Sus scrofa: one gene and its partners. The protein of the gene in region 3 purifies or fractionates together with the protein of the main gene of each other region. This does not show direct contact. Links are inferred from orthologs where the notes say so. Each region holds a gene or a part of one and is shown on either strand. Other genes may lie near its edges. The genes, in order: TNFAIP3, baculoviral IAP repeat-containing protein 2, CASP8, tumor necrosis factor receptor superfamily member 10B-like, tumor necrosis factor receptor superfamily member 10B-like and SQSTM1.

The links.
Region 1: the proteins of CASP8 (region 3) and TNFAIP3 purify together in Homo sapiens (affinity purification with western blotting; 3 studies listed by BioGRID and IntAct, with this or other methods). This does not show direct contact. The link is inferred for Sus scrofa from reciprocal best matches to the Homo sapiens genes CASP8 and TNFAIP3.
Region 2: the proteins of CASP8 (region 3) and baculoviral IAP repeat-containing protein 2 purify together in Homo sapiens (affinity purification with western blotting; 4 studies listed by BioGRID and IntAct, with this or other methods). This does not show direct contact. The link is inferred for Sus scrofa from reciprocal best matches to the Homo sapiens genes CASP8 and BIRC2.
Region 4: the proteins of CASP8 (region 3) and tumor necrosis factor receptor superfamily member 10B-like purify together in Homo sapiens (affinity purification with western blotting; 13 studies listed by BioGRID and IntAct, counting the BioPlex papers as one, with this or other methods). This does not show direct contact. The link is inferred for Sus scrofa from reciprocal best matches to the Homo sapiens genes CASP8 and TNFRSF10A.
Region 5: the proteins of CASP8 (region 3) and tumor necrosis factor receptor superfamily member 10B-like purify together in Homo sapiens (affinity purification with western blotting; 14 studies listed by BioGRID and IntAct, counting the BioPlex papers as one, with this or other methods). This does not show direct contact. The link is inferred for Sus scrofa from reciprocal best matches to the Homo sapiens genes CASP8 and TNFRSF10B.
Region 6: the proteins of CASP8 (region 3) and SQSTM1 purify together in Homo sapiens (affinity purification with western blotting; 5 studies listed by BioGRID and IntAct, with this or other methods). This does not show direct contact. The link is inferred for Sus scrofa from reciprocal best matches to the Homo sapiens genes CASP8 and SQSTM1.

The regions. Positions count from the first base shown.
Region 1 is NC_010443.5:26,483,272-26,486,771, reverse strand, and holds part of TNFAIP3 (tumor necrosis factor alpha-induced protein 3), read left to right. Parts: exon of another isoform or gene 1-818; intron 819-919; 5' UTR 920-934; coding exon 935-1,229; intron 1,230-3,500. UniProt on the Homo sapiens protein: Ubiquitin-editing enzyme that contains both ubiquitin ligase and deubiquitinase activities.
Region 2 is NC_010451.4:33,040,478-33,044,406, reverse strand, and holds the start of baculoviral IAP repeat-containing protein 2, read right to left. Parts: upstream 2,801-3,929; 5' UTR 2,663-2,800; intron 2,166-2,662; exon of another isoform or gene 1,984-2,165; intron 888-1,983; 5' UTR 772-887; exon of another isoform or gene 1-771. UniProt on the Homo sapiens protein: Multi-functional protein which regulates not only caspases and apoptosis, but also modulates inflammatory signaling and immunity, mitogenic kinase signaling, and cell proliferation, as well as cell invasion and metastasis.
Region 3 is NC_010457.5:104,943,357-104,946,016, reverse strand, and holds part of CASP8 (caspase-8), read right to left. Parts: intron 1,459-2,660; coding exon 957-1,458; intron 1-956. UniProt on the Homo sapiens protein: Thiol protease that plays a key role in programmed cell death by acting as a molecular switch for apoptosis, necroptosis and pyroptosis, and is required to prevent tissue damage during embryonic development and adulthood.
Region 4 is NC_010456.5:7,344,288-7,347,086, forward strand, and holds the end of tumor necrosis factor receptor superfamily member 10B-like, read right to left. Parts: intron 2,666-2,799; coding exon 2,352-2,665; 3' UTR 501-2,351; downstream 1-500. UniProt on the Homo sapiens protein: Receptor for the cytotoxic ligand TNFSF10/TRAIL. The adapter molecule FADD recruits caspase-8 to the activated receptor.
Region 5 is NC_010456.5:7,258,544-7,260,998, forward strand, and holds part of tumor necrosis factor receptor superfamily member 10B-like, read right to left. Parts: exon of another isoform or gene 2,378-2,455; intron 1,801-2,377; coding exon 1,487-1,800; 3' UTR 1-1,486. UniProt on the Homo sapiens protein: Receptor for the cytotoxic ligand TNFSF10/TRAIL. The adapter molecule FADD recruits caspase-8 to the activated receptor.
Region 6 is NC_010444.4:78,761,199-78,765,442, forward strand, and holds the start of SQSTM1 (sequestosome-1), read right to left. Parts: upstream 2,801-4,244; coding exon 2,482-2,800; intron 372-2,481; coding exon 276-371; intron 1-275. UniProt on the Homo sapiens protein: Molecular adapter required for selective macroautophagy (aggrephagy) by acting as a bridge between polyubiquitinated proteins and autophagosomes.

The DNA of each region.
Region 1 (3,500 bases), on a different chromosome or scaffold from region 3:
CATCTGAGGGTTGGTACCTGGAGGACGATAATAAAATTTGGTTGGCAGTTGAGTTGATGTAATTGAGCTCCACTATCTGCTCTTGGCAGTGTGGAATTTATCATTCTATTATTGCCATATTGTTATTATTAATTTCTTATTCTGATGTTGTAAAGTTCAATGGAGGGGTTCTGAAAGATGGCTGATGGCTCGTAAAATTGCAAAGCATCTTGCTGGAAATAGGCTTTTTTGTTGGTTGTAAAACATTCAGTTTAATGCTTTGTATGTTATAGTACATTTTATAAGTAAGCACTTTATAAGTATTTCTCTTTGGGACTGAAGAGGAAATTCTAATCAGCAGCCTAGGTGGCAGCATAAAATTGCAGGACTTTTTACAAAATATTTACTGCCTTTTGCAGTGGGGAGGTGGGGATGCGCTTAAAAGAGGCAAAGCAAGACTTTGCCTAAGAGCAGGGTTGCTTGGTGGTGCTCTTAGGAGAGAAAACAGGCTCGTCAGGACTCCGTTGTGCCTGTAACTGCATTCAGGGCTCCTAAAATCCAGTGGCTGCCCCAGAGCAGCATCGAAGTGAGATGGGAGCTTGGGTTGGTCACTAGACACAGTACCTGTTGCTGACAGACAGGCTTGGCTCCCTGACAGACGTTACTGAAAACACGGGTTATTCCCCTCCTCCTCAGTACCCACTCCCCGCCTTCCTTCTCTTGTTTAGACTAATCTTTAAAAGTGATGTAACTTACAACAGTCCAGTGTGAGTTAATCTGTGGGGCCAGCTAGTATCCTGGGAGCAGAGGTGACTAAGATCTTTTGCCTCTTGATTAGGGTAATGACAAGATCAAACACTGGGGTTTCCTGCAGGCAGGTATATAGGAGCCCTATCAAAGTCGAGCTAACGGAATGGGGTTTTCTTTCCCTCCTCTTCAGGCCTTGTAGAGCACCATGGCTGAGCAACTCCTTCCCCTGGCTTTGTATTTGAGCAACATGCGGAAGGCTGTGAAGATAAGAGAGAGAACTCCAGAAGATATTTTCAAACCTACCAATGGAATCATTCACCATTTTAAATCCATGCACCGATACACTCTGGAAATGTTCAGAACCTGCCAGTTTTGTCCGCAATTTCGGGAGATCATCCACAAAGCTCTCATCGACAGGAACATCCAGGCCTCCCTGGAAAGCCAGAAGAAGCTCAACTGGTGTCGAGAAGTGAGGAAGCTTGTGGCACTGAAAACGAATGGTAAGACTTGCTTTTGTCAGTGGGGTGGCTCCCAGGATGCAGGGTCCCATTCATTAAAAGGTGGTAGCTCTTATTTGAACCCAAGCTCAAATCTCTTGAGGCCATAGATAACCTTAGTAGAGAGGCTCTCTGAGGGACGTGTGAGGAAAGCAGGCTTCTTTTGTGAATATTTTAATTAGGGATATTTTCTAGCTGTGTATGTTAGAGAGCAGAGCTCACTGAGGCTTGGGGACTGCATTTCTAGACACCATCCCCCTATTAAGTATATGCTTATAGTATATATGTACGACTTCTGTATCTAATTCTTGCAACTGTTGAGTCATCTGTAAAAAACAAAATAAAACCCTTCTATTACATTTAGAATAGATAAGCAATGAGGTCCTACTGTATAGCACAGGGAATTATGTCTAGTCTCTTAGGATAGAGCATGATGGAAGATAATGTAAGAAAAGGAGTGTGTGTGTGTGTGTGTGTGTGTGTGTCTGTATGTCACTTTGCTGGACAGCAGAAATTGGCAGAGCATTGTAAATTGACTATACCTTATTTAAAAAAGAAAAAAAACTTTCCCTAGCCAGTAATAGAAAAGGCTTTAAGTTCAAAAGGAAAGCATGGTGTGAAAACTGGTAGTGTTTCCCACAGCTATTAGAAAATGCTTCTGTCGGTGGCCTTATACTTTTTGAATCGGTGGCATTTTATGGGTTAACCAGTGGCTGTTGTTGGCTCCTCCCCTGCCTAGGATTGTTGCCTGTGATCCCTTGATATGAACTAGAAAGATACTTGAGATTTTTAGCCCAGATTTTAGATGTCTCCTTCATTATTTTTAGGGAGTCCTCGTAATGCATTTCTTGCTGTCTGTGACTCTCTGCCCAATGGCCATTTATAACTAGTAGCTGTGTTCCTCTTCTAAGCTTTACTGTTTTGTTTTAATTATTTCCTTTGAACAAGAGTATGTACATCACAGAAACATTCAAGCATGCTGTTTTGGGCAGATACGAATTCTCCTTTATAAAGGTAGCTAATTATTACAGGAAGCAAGTAGACTGCCCTAGACAACTAAATGCTTACAGTCTAGGTAAGGCCAGAAATCTCCTGTCCTTAGCTCAGTGACGTTCCTAAACCATACCAATCAAAATAATGCATTGAAGGGCAAAATAATACACCTTTGTTGACAGTGAAATGATAAGAACATTAAGTTCATTAAGTGACTCGGTACATTAACTTTGGCCATTTTTGGTTGGGTAACTTGGCACGAATGAGGTATGTGTTTTTTTGCTTTGGTTCTGAGGGTCAGGCGCCTTGCCGCATCATCTTGCTTTTATTTTTGAAGCATAGTGGCTTAGAAACATGGATAGAAAGAACACTGGGGCTAGCTAGTGTTTACATTGTTCTTGGCATTAAATCGAGTCATGCTTAGAAGTAGGTAATTATGTTAAGTCACTATCAAGGGGTTTATATTCCTGACAGTTTGTGGTTTTAACTCTCTCCCATTTTATTACAAAAAGAAATGGAGTCCACTTTGGGAGAGTTGGAAACAAAGAGATCCTGTCAAATTAGAAATGTGGTAGAAGGAGAAAAACTGTATTGTCATGAACAGAAATTTTAGGTTTAACTTGCCCTGGTGCCTTCAGGAAGAAAAAAAAAAAAAAGGAATATAAAGAGTAAACACTTGTTTTGCAAAGATAATGTCATTTAGATCAAGGATTCACGCTACAAATAAAACTCCAAAAGCAAATGAATTTAGCTGTCATTTTCTGGGAAATAGGGATTTTTAGGCTCAGAATCCCTGTATTTCCCTACTTTCAAGAAAAGTCCTTAAAATTCTGGAAAAGGATGAAAAGGTATTTAGAGGAGGGAGGGAAACAAATGACTTTTCCTCTCTGATTTTTATGACCACCTTTTTTTTAAGCCCTCCCCCTAGAGGAGGGGTCTACAAAGTCAGTGGTCTGTTTGGGGAGGGGGTGATTCACAAGTTTGCATTTGAGGATATGAGACTGCGGTGAATGAGGAAGGGAGTAGGTGGCATAAAATTGAAACTTCATGTGAAAAATTCCAGCGTCTATTGGCTGCAGCGATTTCACTTGTCTAATGAGTAGCCCTATTCCAGCTCACTCTGACCACGCCCACTTGGAAAGTCCAGGGTGCACTTCGCAGTTTAAATGTCTACACACCAGAACAAAAAGTACAATAGCTGTTGCTCAATTGCTAGTCAAATAACTTAGCGCTGGGGAATTCCAGATGTTACTTAGGGAATTTTATGCTGGTGCATCTCAA
Region 2 (3,929 bases), on a different chromosome or scaffold from region 3:
AAACAAGCATAGAATACCTAAATTATGCCTTTAATTTGCCTTTGGTTATAAGTTACAAAGCCTGGTTATAAAGCCAATTAATTATTATTCTACAAGAGGAAAAAAACTAAATGCAGGCTTCTTTCCCTACCAGCACTTTAGTATGATACTTTAAAAAATCTTTTATTCTAGTAAAAAAGAATTAAAGTCTCCATATGGTCGCATTATCTAAAAGCTAATTTCACAGTTTACCAACGCAGTATTTACTTAAGAAGGTTAAATTAGCTTCAGCTAACAACTTTCGGGGATGTCAATACCTACTAGCTTTCTTGAAGCCTGTGTGATGTCAAAGGAAATGAATTCTGCTTCCTTCAAAAACTGATAACTCTTCCATCTTTGTTAAATATTGTCTATATTTGTTTCCATTACCTGCAGCATCATTATGTTGTTTTTCTTCCTAACTTTGCAAACAGTTTATTACACTTGATCAATTGAGGGTATTTTCTCCATAAATTTAACTAGTTAACCATAAAATTTTCACAGGAGAAACTTTCTTAAAAAATTAACTTTTTTTGTTTAAGAATCATGCATGTATATTACTCATTTTGTAATTAAAGGTAAATATTTATCAAGATACAGTTTGTCCTTTCTAGTGTTAACACATAAGCCTAAGAAGATACTGCATTATCAACAGAATCACTATTCATGCGTAATGTACCAATAATTAACCCTACTAGCCTTCTTTCTGAAAACCCTTCATAAATTAAAAATATAATTCATACACAAAATTACATTGCACAGAATGCAAACTATATCCCTTCATAAAGTTTCTGAGTCTCCACAACTGGATTTATTACTTCAATGGGAAAAAATGAGAGGGCAAAAGTAGACTCTTCAGGACTGTAAATCTGAAAAGAAAAAACAAAAGCTATTTTAGAAAACCATATTCTCACAGTAAATACAGTTTATAATTTTCTCAATTTATTCAGTAAATTCTAAAAGTGACTTATACTTTAAATAATGCATCTTTTTTTTTTTTTTTTTTTTTTTTGTCTTTTGTCGTTGTTGCTATTTCTGGGCCGCTCCCGCAGCATATGGAGGTTCCCAGGCTAGGGGTTGAATCGGAGCTGTAGCCACCAGCCTACGCCAGAGCCACAGCAACGCAGGATCCGAGCCGCGTCTGCAACCTACACCACAGCTCACGGCAACGCCGGATCGTTAACCCACTGAGCAAGGGCAGGGACGAACCCGCAACCTCATGGTTCCTAGTCGGATTCGTTAACCACTGCGCCACGACGGGAACTCCTAAATAATACATCTTAATTCCAGCAATTTGTCACCAAAATTAATTGCAAAGCCTTTTAAAATAAATGCAGTATACTCCCCTTAGCAATAAGTACACATTTTTTTTTTTTTATGTACTACTTTGAAGACAGATGGACATAGTAAAATACTTCGCCCCTGGTCTCCTCCCCTATTCTTCTTCTTGTGTGTGTGTGTGTGTGTGTGTGTGTGTGTGTGTGTGTGCGCGCGCTTTTTAGGGCCACCCGGGGCATAAGGAGGTTCCCAGACTAGGGGTCCAATCAGAGCTATAGTTGCCGGCCTACACCACAGCCACAGCAACATCAGATCCGAGCCGCGTCTGAGACCTCCTTAACCCACTGAGCAAGGCCAGGGATCGAACCCACAACCTCATGGTTCCTAGTTGGATTCGTTTCCACTGCACCACAACGGGAACTCCTCCTCCCCTCTTCTGGTGACAACTTATAATTTAGTTTAAGGATAATTATCTATGGCAATTTGCTAGCGGTAAAAAGGGAGGGTGAAAAATAGACTGCACCCATCATCAACAGTACAGCAGTTATCCAGACAATAACGTTATTTCTTAATGTCAAGTCTCTCCAGAACTAGGCAAAAAAACTACTAAGAGTTAAAATTCACCAGGAACTCGTGAATACAATGCCTTCACAATTCCAAAGCAACAATTCGCAGAAAGCAACTCACAAAACAAAACACAGCACAATGGCCTATGAAACACTGGCCTTGGGAATGTGACCGCTTGAATGAATGCCTCCGTTACACAAGGACTTGAGGTCCTATCTTTGCATATTTTTAATCTGCAGGAACTGTACAGGATTTGCCCTCTTTAGGCAAACTGTGGCTGGGGGGAAGGGGAAGGAGACAGACTGCAAGGAAAAAGAAGAGAAATTATGGAATTTTATTAATTTCCCCGAGTTATTTCTCGCAATATACAATAGAATACTAAAGTGGCAAAGCGGGGTTGTACCTATCTGAAACAAGAGATCTCGCCGATACGTTACTGTCTCCGTTTGAATATATTAAATAAAGGAATACCGAGGGTTAAGTTTAAAACCCTGCAAAAACTCTTAAAACATCTTGGCCAAAGGCCAAGGGCCAGAAAAGTGAGAAGCGGCCAGAGTAGACTTGTAAACAGGTCAATTAAAAAAATTATTTTCGACAGCATGTCTTGGAACTGGAGCTTCCGAATTAAACAAAAGCATCTTCGACAGTAGAGTAGCAAAGAGCTAACTGCTACCTGCGACCCCCGACTCCCGGCCCTGTCCTCCCCAGCCCAACTGCAGTCTCGGGGAAGGCAGGCCCCGCGGCCTGCGCGCCCCGACCCAGCCCCGCGAGGCCTGGGTCCGGAAGGACCTGCACTCACCACAGGGCAGACGCGTCCAACACGAAACAGCAGTGCCACCAGGAGCCTCCACAGTCCCGGGAGCAACGACGCGGGCTGAACTGCCGGCTGGGCTGCGCAGTTAGAGCTCCTGGGGCCCCCCCCGCCCGCTCAGGGCCCACGCAGACGCACGATGACGTCAGCGCGCCGACCGGGTGCGCGTCACTCCCTCTGCGAGGGCGCCCCGGAGTCTGTGGGCGGAGAGCGGGACCCAGCGCGCGGTCAGCCCTCAGGGGAAGGCAGGGCTGGGCGTGAGCTTGGTGTGCTAATCTTCAATCTCGCTGCGAGAGCACTTTCCCTCGCTGTCCCTCTCATCCTCCTGAGCGGGACGTGGCGAGAGCCGTCGAGTTTGAATCTTTGGAAGCCCTGGGGAAACGCCCGGGCGCGGGTGGCGAACCTCTCCCCACGTCGACTCGCCGGGATTAGTTCCCGGCCGGATTCCTCCAATGGGACCCTCCCCTCGGCGTGGATGACGGCGTTTGAGGGTGGAGTCAGCCCGGAGGCGTTTCGGCTGCAACTAAGTAAACAGCTGTAACCATTTCCCCTTTGCAGCTGCCTGGCGTCAACCTTCCACAGCTGGCCCTGGGGATGGGAAAAAAGCCAAGTGTTGGAAAGCAGAACAGCCTCAGATTAATTTTGAAGCCTTGATTCTATAATGTTGGGGGGCATATCTATTATATAATCACTATCTTTTCTGTTTTTCTCTTCTGGAGACGAATGCATTAACGAAAAGTGTCCTATTTTCATCACTAGCAAAGTGAACACGGTGTTTCAGGCCAGGCTTCACTCCCCCTTTTTTCTGAATGTGGCTAGAACGGAATATATACATTTATGTAGATGTGTGTATATGTAAATCGTACACGAACCATAAAGGAGCCCATTTGTCCATCACATTTTAAAAGTTAACTGTCAGAAAAAAATTGTAAATACAAAATACTACCTTTACTAGTCAGGGACGTTTTCCAGCCCCCTCTTTAGCAATGGGGTGAAGACAGACAGTTGCATGCAGTATTAGTTGAATGGCGGCAGGAGAATTTTTTAATTTATGTTCTGTGAAGACACTCATTGTCAATGATATCGGATGCTTTCTTCTCTCAGGGGAACTCCAGGGGGCAAATATTTCAAAAAAAACTTCCAAATAACAAGCCACTTAATTAGGCAGCCAGGGGAATTCCGAGACCCTGAACCATTTCCCATTTCCTCCCCGTCATTTCTGCCTGCCAGTCAGTAACAGAACAGGAGGGCTTCT
Region 3 (2,660 bases):
GTAGCCACCGGCCTACACCACAGCTACAGCAATGCGGGATCCGAGCCTCTTCTGCAACCTACACCACAGCTCACGGCAACGCCGGATCCTTAACCCACTGAGCAAGGCCAGGGATCGAACCCGCAACCTCATGGTTCCTAGTCGGATTCGTTAACCACTGCGCCACGACGGGAACTCCTCACTATCCTCTCTTAACAGCTTAGTTGGGCAACCTGTTCATTCACTTCTGTTGCTAGCCTCCTGGAACCTCGCAGGATTCCTGGTCTGTTGCAAAACGAAAATGTAGCGGGGATGTTCTGGTTCAGTCCTTTATCTGCCATGGGCAATTCTTGCTCTTCATACACTTATAACATAATGAGACGTAGAACTAGAAACAACCTGCGGAAGATTCCTTGCTACTTATCTGCTGGTTGTGTGTGTGTGTGTGCATTTGGTGAGCTGTGCCACACAAAACCATCATTTAGCTAAAGGAAACATCAGCTGCAATAAATGAGGGAAAGATATTTTCCCACATTTTGTGTGGCTTCAAATCCGGCCAAATTCGTGGGAATATAAAAGGTTTCTCCTCTTTGGCACTTACTTTCCACAAGAGGGTTTGAGGTTGGTTAGCTATTAAAGAGCTTTGACAGGGTTGGAGGAGGTTGAACGTTGAAATGGGCTACTGCCTTCTTGGAAGCCTTCCCAACTAGTTGAGTCGGTTCAGTCATGTTTCTGCCTAGAGATAGAGCTGGACTCCATGACTTTACGACGTGGCCAACGCTATGACACCCTGATTGTCGTATGAGGTCCTAAATAGAAGAAACTCCTCAGGAAGTATCTCAGTTTTTTCTATCGGTCAACTCAAGATGCTCACACTTGCCGTCTCTCCCCCATCGCAACTGACCTGAGAATTACAGCTAGGCGATCCACAGCCAGATACTTCGAGATGAATGCAAGTTTGAAGAAACAAAAATTACCTGGGACATCTTTCTTTCAGGCTCTGGCACAGTGATTGGATATACCAGGTCCCCTCCATGGTGCTTCGGTAAGAAACACAGTTGTTCACAGTGGCCATCCCCAGCAGGAAGTCCGCCTCGTCTGGGATATATCTCTTCTGAAGTGATGAATCCATTTCTAAATAGGCTTCTGTCTGTTCTGAGTCTGTCTCAATAGCTATACCTTTCTGGTATTTATCCCCTTGACAAGCCTGAATGAAAAAAATTTTGGGTTTACCAAGAAGGGAAGGGCACTTCGAACCAGTGAAATAAGAGGTCAGATCATAGATGGGGGCTTCCCTCCCATCAGAGCCGTAGATGATGCCCTTGTCTCCATGGGAGAGGATGCAGCAGACAAAGCAGTCTTTGTCATTATGGTCCAAGTTTCGGTAGTATTCCAGAACATCACAGATTTCCTTTGCTGTGACATCTTTGTAAGGCCTTACTTCAAAATGAAGATCACTAAAGGTCTTGCTCAGAGCCGCTGAAAAGTGAAACAAGAAAAGTCACATTACACCACAATAGTTCCCAGACCATAACCCAAAACTAGCGAGAACATTGATCAGATAAGAATTTGAATGAAAACTGAAGAACAAACCTGTCTGGAGTTCCCATCATGGTTCAGTGGTTAACAAATCCAACTAGGAACCGTGAGGTTGCGGATTCGATCCCTGGCCTTGCTCAGTGGGTTAAGGATCCAGCGTTGCTGTGGCTCGGGCGTAGGCCGGCAGCTATAGCTCCGATTAGACCCCTTAGCCTGGGAACCTCCATATGCTGCAGGTGCGGCCCCAGAAAAGGCAAAAAGACAACAACAACAACAAAAGAATAAACCTGTCTATGTTAGTAGCTGGATTCCATTCACTTTATTTTTTGGCCATATCCTCAGCATGTAGAAGTTCCCAGGCCAGGGACTGAACCTACACCACAGCAGCGACCTGAGCCACAGCTGTGACAGCACCACATCCTTAACCCCCTGAGCCACCAGGGAACTCCACAGCTTTTAGTGTTTACTGCCACTAGCTGCAAACATTTCCAGTCCTGAGGCAAATGAGAAAGGGGAGAGTGCTATTACTGGCCTGTTGTCTTTTCTCAACTAGTGTACAAGATGGGTAAGCTATTATTTAGGCTTACAACATAACCAGTCTAAAATCTAACTGTATTACTTGCATAATCAGAAATAAGGTGCAAATAACTTTTCCTGGATAAAAGATCCATACTTATTTTATCCTAAACCTTCTCAAAACTGTTCATCAAAATACAAGATATGAATGTTTAAAAAGTCAAGTAGAACTAAAAGTCATTACCCAAAAAAAACAGCCGTCCCCTCTCTACTCCTCCCTATTACTTGGTCATGTTCTGTCTAGTCATTAGTATGAAGGCAGCCACTTTCAACTTTTAACTACTTTTTTTTTTTTTTTTTTTAGTGTTAGCCTCCATTTTGTAATGAATTTGGGTACATTGTTATTTATTCATCTATAAATTTTAGACTTTTGAGTTCCCACTGTGGGTGATGAGCACTTGGTGCTCTTATACATTCACAGCTTCTACTGAAAGCAATAGAAATATTGCTACTACTATGTACACACAATATTCTTAAATTATGCATCCTTTCTTATTAATTTTTTTTTGTCTTTCCTGGAATTAGCAATTGCTTTATTTTTCATTGCTTTGTTTTCTACATACTTA
Region 4 (2,799 bases), on a different chromosome or scaffold from region 3:
GGTCTCTATGAGGTTGCAGTGCAGAGCCACCTGGCCCACTGATGAGGGGGCAGAGGGGCCAGCAGAGAGGGAAGGGGAAGGTGGCCCTGGAGTTCCAGGAGGCCCACAGGTGAGAGGGTCACAGAGTGACCCCAGCCAGCAGGGCCCCCCTCCTCAGGGACCCACCTCATCCCAAGGGCTCTGTCAGAGCCAGTGCGCATCTCGCGAGAGCCCTGCAGGCCCAGGTGTGACCTAGAGACAGCACCGGGGGGGGGGGCTGTGGGGGGCCGGGCCAGGCGCAGGTCTCTCTGCCAGGGGAAGGGCAGGGAGGGGAGGGAGGGAGGGAGCAGGGGCCGGATTCCAGGGGGAAATCCAGAGTCAGAGCAGAAGAAACCCCTGCGGGCCGAGCCCGAGGCATAAAGAAGGAAGGAGCAGGTCACGGCAAGAACACATGCCCTGCACCCTTGTCACTCCGAGCTGCTCCAGAGGACGGGAAGATGGCCAAGAAAGACACACACACCTTTTTAAATACAGAATTGCATGTTTAATTTGGTCACAAATTCATAAGGACATGGTATTTTGTGCCCAGTGGCTTTTCTTTCATTGTCTAAGGTTTCCAAGAAATTCTTAAAAGGGATCTTCCCATGGAGAGGAAACATGCACAGAACCCAACCTTTAAATAAAACTTTTAAATAAAACTTCCCGTGCACTGACACGAAGCAATAAAGGAAACAACTTCATATCTCTAGAAGGTTTTCACTGGTAAAAGACACAATAAATATGTGAAGGGATATGACAAACACTGATAAGACTAATACTTTAGAAGGGCACTCACAGAAATCCTCTGAGAGAAGGGCCAGATATCCGGAAAGAAGGGGCCAGAGGGCTTGCTTATAACAGCAGGACCATGGGGGGCAGCCCTTCCAAAACACTCCAGTTGACTCCCGACACCATACCCTGAACGTGCCTAAATGTCAGGCAATTCCATCTTTGGCCACATCAGCTTTGGGGAAGGCAACACACAGAGTCTTGAGACGGAAAAGACCACAACTCCTGAGTGGCCCTTCCTCCATAAGATCATCCTGCAGTAACTGGACGCCTACAAAGAAGGGTTTTAATGGAAGGCTTTAAAACAAACAAACAAACAAAAAAAAGGAATGAAAGGACAGAACCCCAACACATCAGCCATTTTAGGCCAATGCCTACAGTGTTTAGGAATTGGCATGTCTGTGTGAGTCTGTTTCTGCAGGAGGCCAAAGCTTACGAAGAGGTTGAGATGCCCGAGTAGCCAACTCAGACCGCAAAAGGCAGTTCTGAGGCTCAGATCAGAGCACCCGGACCGCGAGTGCCCATCTAGTGCCGAGTCAGCCCACACTGAACACAGTCCACCACCACCAACTGCACTTCCTCCCTGAGACCACGGCAGACACTGGGACCAGATCCCTCCCCTCCCTCCCGGGAACCCAGAGGGAGCCGAAGCTTCACTAACAAGATCAGACGCAAGACGCCCATGTCACTTAACATCTGCACCCAACCTGCATCCCACCCTCAGCACCGAGGTCCAACGAAGAACCGGCGGAGGCCCACGCCTGACAGCCCAGCTCACAGACACCAGACACAGGGCTGTGCAGGGATGCCACGTCTCGTCACGCTCTGCTGACTTGTAAACGCCCACCGGTAAATAAAAGAAATAGTCACACACCTATGAGATTTTCAGGTATAAAAGAGTGGGCACCACAGAGGTCACCAGGTATCCAAGAGTGCGAGACTGCCTTTGAAGGAGAGTGGATTCCTCCAGTGCTCCCCACAGCGGTGCTGGGCTCTCTTCTGCCATTACTTGTGACACCCAATCATTGTGGCTTCGCACCTCTCAAAAAGGCAACCCATGTAAACAACCCAGTGTTATTTCACAGAATCTTTTCTAGGCTACTATAAATACATATAAAAAACATAGAAGCAGGAGTTCCCTTTGTGGCTCAGTGGTTAATGAACCTGACTTAGGATCCATGAGGTTGCGGGTTCGACCCCCGGCCTCACTCAGTGGGTTAAGGATCCGGCGCTGCCGTGAGCTGTGGTGTAGGTCGCAGATGCAGCTCAGATCCCAAGTGGCTGTGGCTCTGGCGTAGGCCAGCGGCTACAGCTCCGATTCGACCCCTAGCCTGGGAACCTCCACAGGCCTTAGGTGCGGTCCTAAGACAGCAAAAAAACCGCAAAAAACAATAAATAGCAGAAAGTCATACAACAAACAGTATTACAGATTACACCCCCTCCCCAACAAAACATAGATTCTATTGTAATACATGAGAGTAAAAAGAGCAAGTCCATTTGGATAAAAAACGTGTCCAGAACTGGAAGATGAGGTCCTCAAACACTCAGGACACAGCAGCACCAGCTTCACCTTCTTTGAAGACGAACTTTCTTGAGCCCACCAGCGTGTCCTCAATTTTCTCCTTTGCGTATCTTTGCCCCAGTGCTTCCAAGGCATCGAGGAGGTCGTTGACTGAGGCCTCCCGCCCTTTGCGGCGGACCCAGGTCTCCAGCATCTCATACAAGGCATCCCCGGTGTTCCGAGCGCGATCTCTGCTCTGAAGGATGTCATTTTGGGTGAGGTCCATCTTTCTCATGAGTTTGTCCCAGCAATCACAAGGCACGATGTTGGAAAAGTCATCAAAGAACTGCCTCAAGCCTAGGTTGGGGGAAAGTCACAGAGAGAAGGTTGGGACCAGCTTCAGAAAGGGCAGAGGACCCTCGGGCAGGCCTGGACCCCAGGGCGGGACCTGAAGAGCTCCCCCTGCTGAGGCAGCTGCTGCTCTGCATCCC
Region 5 (2,455 bases), on a different chromosome or scaffold from region 3:
CAAGCCTTGGCACTACCCACCAGCAGGCCAAGACCCAGCTCTACTCCCCAGTGGGCAGGCACAGGCCCTGCCCTCCAGGAAGCCTACACCAGCCTCTGGACAGCCTCCAGAGGGCAGGGGGCAGACACTAAGTGCAAAAAACCTCACAATCCTACAGGCTGTGGCCCCAAACTGTTCTCAGACCCTCTTCTGGGACCAGCCAAAATTGAATCAGTAATAATAACAATGATAATAATAAACCCACAAACCAAATAATAAAAAAAAAACCCCAACGAGCCTTCACAGAATAATTCCACCAAACATCGTGAGAATTAACACCTATCTTTCTCAAAATATCCCAGAGAATTGTAGAGGAAGGAACACTTCTGAACTCATTCTACGAGGCCAGCATCAAACTGATACCAAATCCAGACGAAGATATCATCGAAAAGAGAAAATTGCCATCCAATATCACCGATGAACATATGTGCAAAACTCCTCAACAAAATATCAGCAAACCAAATCCAGCAATACATCAAAAGAATCTATACCATGATTACGTGGGATTTATCCCAGGAATGCAAGGATTTTTCCAATATCTGCGAATCAACCCATATAGTATAGCACATCAGCAAACTGAAGCATAAAAACCATATGATCATCAAAACAGATGCAGAAGATTGTGACAAAATTCAACATCCATTTATAATGATAATTTAAAAAGCTCTCTGCTAAATGGACATAGAAGAAACATACCTCAACATAATAAAGCCTGTGTATAACAGACCCACTCTCTGCTCATTTGTAAACATTTACCAATAAATAATATAAATAATCCCATATCTATAAAATAATCAGTTGGAAATGATGGACACTTTAAAAGTTGGTTATCTACTCCTAGACAAGTTAAACTCCCATATGAGGGAGAACTGAACTCAATGATGCCTCCTAAAGCGATGGGCTTTTTCCTCTTCCTTCTTTGGGTTTCTTTTGTTATTGTTGCTTGCTCCTATTTTAGGAACTCATGCAGGCAACCGAGTAAGTGCATTTCCAAAAAGTTTTGTGCATTTATACAAATACGTACAAAAATATAAAAATAGACAAATGTATATCATAAAATATCATAGTACAGTTAGACAATTAAGAATAAGCATATCAATCCAAATGGAACTCACATTATAAAAAGTACAAGTAAAAAGTGCAATTCTGTTAGGATAAGAGTGTCCTGAACAGAATGATATCCTAAATCAGCTCTCAGTAAATTCACGCACATATTCATAAATGTTTCCACCATCGCTTATCAATGACATTTCTCAAAAATTACTCTAGTTTAACCAAAAAGTTCTAGAACTTTACAAGTGTGGCATATATCCGAAGGTAGACTTCATTCAAGTATTTGGTCCAAGTACCTGATGTTTCTTTCAAGCTGGTATCTAATCATGCTTCCCTTTCCAGCAAAAAACATAAAGTAGGGAAGCTGTGGTTTCATAAAGAGATCCTTTTACACTCAGGACACAGCAGCACCAGCTTCACTTTCTTTGAAGACGAATTTTCCTGAGTCCACAAGCTTGTCCTCAATTTCCTCCTTTGCGGATCTTTGCCCCAGTGCTTCCAAGGCATCGAGGAGGTCGTTGACTGAGGCCTCCCGCCCTTTGCGGCGGACCCAGGTCTCCAGCATCTCATACAAGGCATCCCCGGTGTTCCGGGCGCGATCTCTGCTCTGAAGGATCTCATTTTGGTTGAGGCCCATCTTTCTCATGAGTTTGTCCCAGCAATCACAAGGCACGATGTTGGAAAAGTCATCAAAGCACTGCCTCAAGCCTAGGTTGGGGGAAAGTCACAGAGAGAAGGTTGGGACCAGCTTCAGAAAGGGCAGAGGACCCTCGGGCAGGCCTGGACCCCAGGGCGGGACCTGAAGAGCTCCCCCTGCTGAGGCAGCTGCTGCTCTGCATCCCTGACCTGCTTCCCAGCCACAGAGAAATCAGGCCACACGCTGCCTGGGCCCCCTATGTCCCCAGGACACCGTAGGGAGTCAAGGTCACCAGAGAATCCTGTCCTAAGTGAGGGAGAAGGGCCCACCGGGGAGGGGAAACGGACGTCATGGAGGGAGAAGGCAGTAGTGGCAGGAGGCAGAGGGGGCCACCTGCCCCTCTCAGGAGACTCAGGGTGGCACCTGCCCCTCTCGTGAGACTCAGGGCCCCCAGCTGCACTGGGGCCCCAGCAAGGCCTGGAGCTTGGAAGGTCTCTGGCTTCACACTCAGCTCGGCCTTCCTGAGCTGGATGGGGACAAACAGACGCTAACATGTGAGGTGGAGCCGAGGCCGCCCGCCTCGTGGGACTGTACTGGGGATGCAGGGCAAGCGTGTGCAACGCAGTGCACACCACTGTGCATAGGTACCTAAGGTGGCCGCTGAAGGAAGTTCATATTCTCTCACAGCTACGCTGGAAAACGTAAAATGTTAACAAGTTATACTAA
Region 6 (4,244 bases), on a different chromosome or scaffold from region 3:
GGCATGTGCAGCCTGGCCGGCGTGAGGCAGCAGGGAGTTGCGTCTGCACCATTTTAGACTTGTCCGGCACTAAAATCAACCCCAAAGCTGGCCCGCAGGCACAATAAAGAGGGAACCCAAAGACCCTCTGACCTCCCCACCATGGTGGACACGGACCCTTCCTCAGAGACGATCCCGGCCCTGCCTTAAACGGCCCATAGTCTCCTCACCCCTTCTTTGGAGCAACTTCTCCATGACCTCAAGCTGGTTTGACTCAGCACAGAGCAGCCCCTTACCTTTAATGTAAATACGGAAGATGTCATCCTTCACATACGACATCGCCATCGTCAGTTCCTCGTCACTGGAAAAGGCAACCAAGTCCCCGTCCTCATCTAGAATGTTTAAAAGACAGCGCATCAACACCCAGTTGGACACAAGCTGCTGAAAGGACTGAGGCCAGTGCCAAAGGGGCCTGTGCAGGGCTATAAACTGACGCCCACCTGGGTGAGCCAGGGGCAAGCAGGGCTGGGGCCGAACTTCTCATTCACCCTGCCACTGCCTGGAAGGTGAGCACTCCAAGCTGGGCCCAGGCACACTTGGGAGGTGGAGTGCCTGTGTGCAGTGGGCAGCAGTGGTAGCACCCAGCCACCTGCCACTCTGCCTCTGGGCCAGCTGCTCTGTCAGAAAGGTGCTGTCTCCATCTACATCCAACCAGACCCTGTCAACTGTGGGAGGTCCCCATCTGCAACTGGCTCCTTGGCGTTCCAGCCCCTCCAAAATTCTTGGACCTCTTGTGGCTTAGGAAAGTAGAATATATCTTCCTGCTTCCTCCCCAACGAAGCTAAAATTATGTCTTTGTATGAAGCCTCCAACTTTTAGATGTCAGCTGAAATGATTTAAAGCACCACCACACAGAACCAACCACACAATACATGTGCAAGCCAGGTCAGGTCTATGGACCACCAAACACAACATCTACCATAAAATCAGGGACTGTGTCAAAAAGCAGAAATAGGGAGTTCCCGTTGTGGCTCAGCAGAAATAAACCCGACTAGTATCCATGAGGATGTGGGTTCAATCCCTGGCCTCGCTCAGTGGGTTAAGGATCTGGCGTTGCCATGAGCTGTGGTGTAAGTGGCAGACACAGCTCAGATCTGGTGTTGCTGTGGCTGTGGCGTAGGCCGGCAGCTGCAGCTCTGATTCAACCCTCAGCCTGGGAACTTCCATATGCCTCCGGTGTGACCCTAAAGACAAAAAAAAAAAAAAAAAAAAAAGGCAGAAACAACCTAAACACCCATCAGCTAATGAATGGCTAAACAAGATGTGGCATGACCATAAGACAATATTATTCATCCACAAAAAGGAATTAAGTACTGATACATACTACAACATAAGTAAACCTTGAAAATAGTATGTAAATAAGAGATGCCAGTTACAAGACTACATATTTTTACATGAAATGTCCAGAATAGGGGAATCCATAGAGATTAGGGGTCGCTTGGGGATTGGAGGATAGGATGATGGGGATGGGAGGAAGCTAACAGAGTTGGTGTATAAAGTGATGAAAATGTTCCCAGATGATTGTGATAATGGCTGCGCAAATCTGTGAATATACTAAAAACTCAACACTTTAAACTACAGTATGTGAACAGGAACTCAAAGTTATTTTTTTGAAAAAGCTAGGGGCTGGCGAGCTGGCAGCAGTCCTGAGGGAGGTCCCGGCACGGCCCCACCCACCGGCGGGCCTGGTCCGCCCGCCTCCCTCCCAGTCACAACAACCTCCCCCAACTCCACCCCGCGCAGCCACCGGTCACGCCAGCTCAGCTAGAAACTAGGCAGGCTCGTGAGCTCTGTCCCTACACCAACACTTCTCGAGAATGTTTTCACCTTGTCCCTCTGTCCGCTGCCAACGGGATAACGTCTGGATCCCGCCTGGCCTTGGGCAACCTATGGTCTCTCCTCCCCACCTCCGGCCAGACTGTGCAGCCCTGAGGGCTCCCCACTGCTTATTTACCCTCGTCACTTTTCTGCGTAGCCAGCCCTTCCCCCTCATCTGCCCGCCCAGGCTCTTCCGGGTTACTATCCGAACCCCCCATCTGGGGCTAGCGGGCCCCAGCTGGGCAGTAGCCAAGTGGCAGTGTAACCCGAGTGCCCCTCTAACCACCCCGTGCCCGCCGTGAGGACGCCCCCGCGCGCCCTCCCCAAGATCTGCACCATCATGGTGGGGGGAGGGGAGGCCTCTTACGTCGCCGGGCCCGATCCGCTAGGGGACTGGCAGCGCCTGACCCCACAGGTCTGGCTGTGGTCACCACTCCTGGCTACCAGAATGGCACCCAAGGCCGAAATGGGAACCCACGCGGGCCACCGCCCACCCAACGAGCGATCAAACTCCCGCAGGCGGCCCCAAGCCCCACGAGAAGGAAGGGAGCAGCGACCCTGCCCGGCAGGGCAGCACTGCGTCACGGCCCCGCACCGCTCCCCGAGAGCGCCCGGCCTGCTCACCGCGGTAGTGCGCCTGGAAGCCGCCGGGCCGTAGCACGGGGAACAGGGCGGCCACCCGGCTCAACAGCCGCTCGCAAGGTCCGGGGCCAGCCGCGGCCTCGGCTTCCGCCTCGGGCTCCGGGCTGAAACAGAAGCTGAAGCGGCGAATCTCGCGGGCCGCATCCTCCTTGCCCAGAAGGTAGGCCTTCACGGTGAGCGACGCCATGACCACCAGTTGGGGAGCAAGAGAAGAGCCCGGCGGTGGTAGCGGCGGCGGCGGCGGCAGCGGGAGGGGACGCGCGGCCTTTGTAGGGAACGCGGGTGAAGCCCCGCCCCTCATCGCTTCCTGGGGGCGGGGCCTGAGTGTCAGAGGTCTGGCTCCAGCCACCCCGGCCGTCGCGCGAGAGCCGCCCTACAGGAGCCCCAGCCTCGCTACCTCTCCCCGCCGTTGAGCCCCCTCATTCCCGACCCCTCTCCTCACCGCCCCAAGTGCACCAGGGACACCAAGAGGCCGGCCCCGCACGCTGACATCTAAGTCTGGCGCCTACCTCTATACCTGGGGCAAGGGACCGGCCAGGGTCCCGCCCTAGACCCCTCCCAGGCCTGACCAGGCCGTGACTCAGCAAAACGGAACCCAGGCCACCGGGGATGCACAGCTCAGGAGGGAGGTGGGCAACAGAGGCTGGAAGCCAGGAAGAGGGGACACTGCTGACACTGCTAGCTACAACAAATTGGCTCCCGAGGCGCTGTCTTGACCTTGCCACTCTTGTCAAGGGCCCGCTCTTGCCACCAGTTTCTCAGGTGGCAGCCCACTACGCCGCCCCCAGCATCCCCCCTAATGGCCCTTTACTGGGTTAAAGCACAGACACTCAACTCAAACCTGAGCACCAGAGGAGCTTCCAGTTTAATAGGGGGTAGGGTTGAGAGATGCCAGAAGAGCACAGGATCTTCCCATCCCCACCTTGCTGGGGGGTCTGCTAAGGCTTCCTGGAGCCTCAGTGGCCACCAAATGTTCACTGAAGCCCTAAGGACTCCCCATCGGTACTCCCCATCCATCCCCACTTGTCAGCTCAAGGTTCAGCTCAGCAAATGGTGCCCAATGGCCTGAAAGATCTCAGGTCTGTTGGCCTCATGGGCAGCCCAGGGATTACATCAACAGCCCCCACCCTACCCCACCCCCAGGAGCCAAGAAACACTCTTTTATGTAACCGAAGTGACCTGTTCAAAGTGCCTAGGGGAAGGGGGTTGTTGGGGGAGGAGGTGCCTTAGAAGAAGGTAAGCAGGCGGGTATGTCACCCTATGAATCCTCCCAAGTAGGGCTCTGTAGGTAGAAAGTCAGACCTGCTGAGTCACACTCACTTTTTTCATGGTGGGGTTTGTGGAAGTCAGTAAAACTTAAAGGGATGGGAGTTCCCATCGTGGCTCAGCGGAAACAAATCTGACTAGCATCATGAGGACGCAGGTTTGATCCCTGGCCTTGCTCAGTGGGTTAACAATCTGGTGTTGCCCTGAGCTATGGTGTAAATTGCAGACTAGCCTCAGATCCTGGGTTGCTGCGGCTGTGGTGGAGGCCAGCGGCTACGGCTCTGATTCGACCCCTAGCTTGGGAATCTCCATATGCCTCAGGTGCAGTCCTAAAAAGACAAAAACAAACAAACAAACAAAAAACCTTAAGGGAATGGGAAACCCAGAGACCATGGGGAAGGTAGATTGGGTTTGGCTAGTTTGCTGACTTGCTTGTGGAATCACAGCAGGAACCTAGCCACAGATGTGGCTTGTTCCTC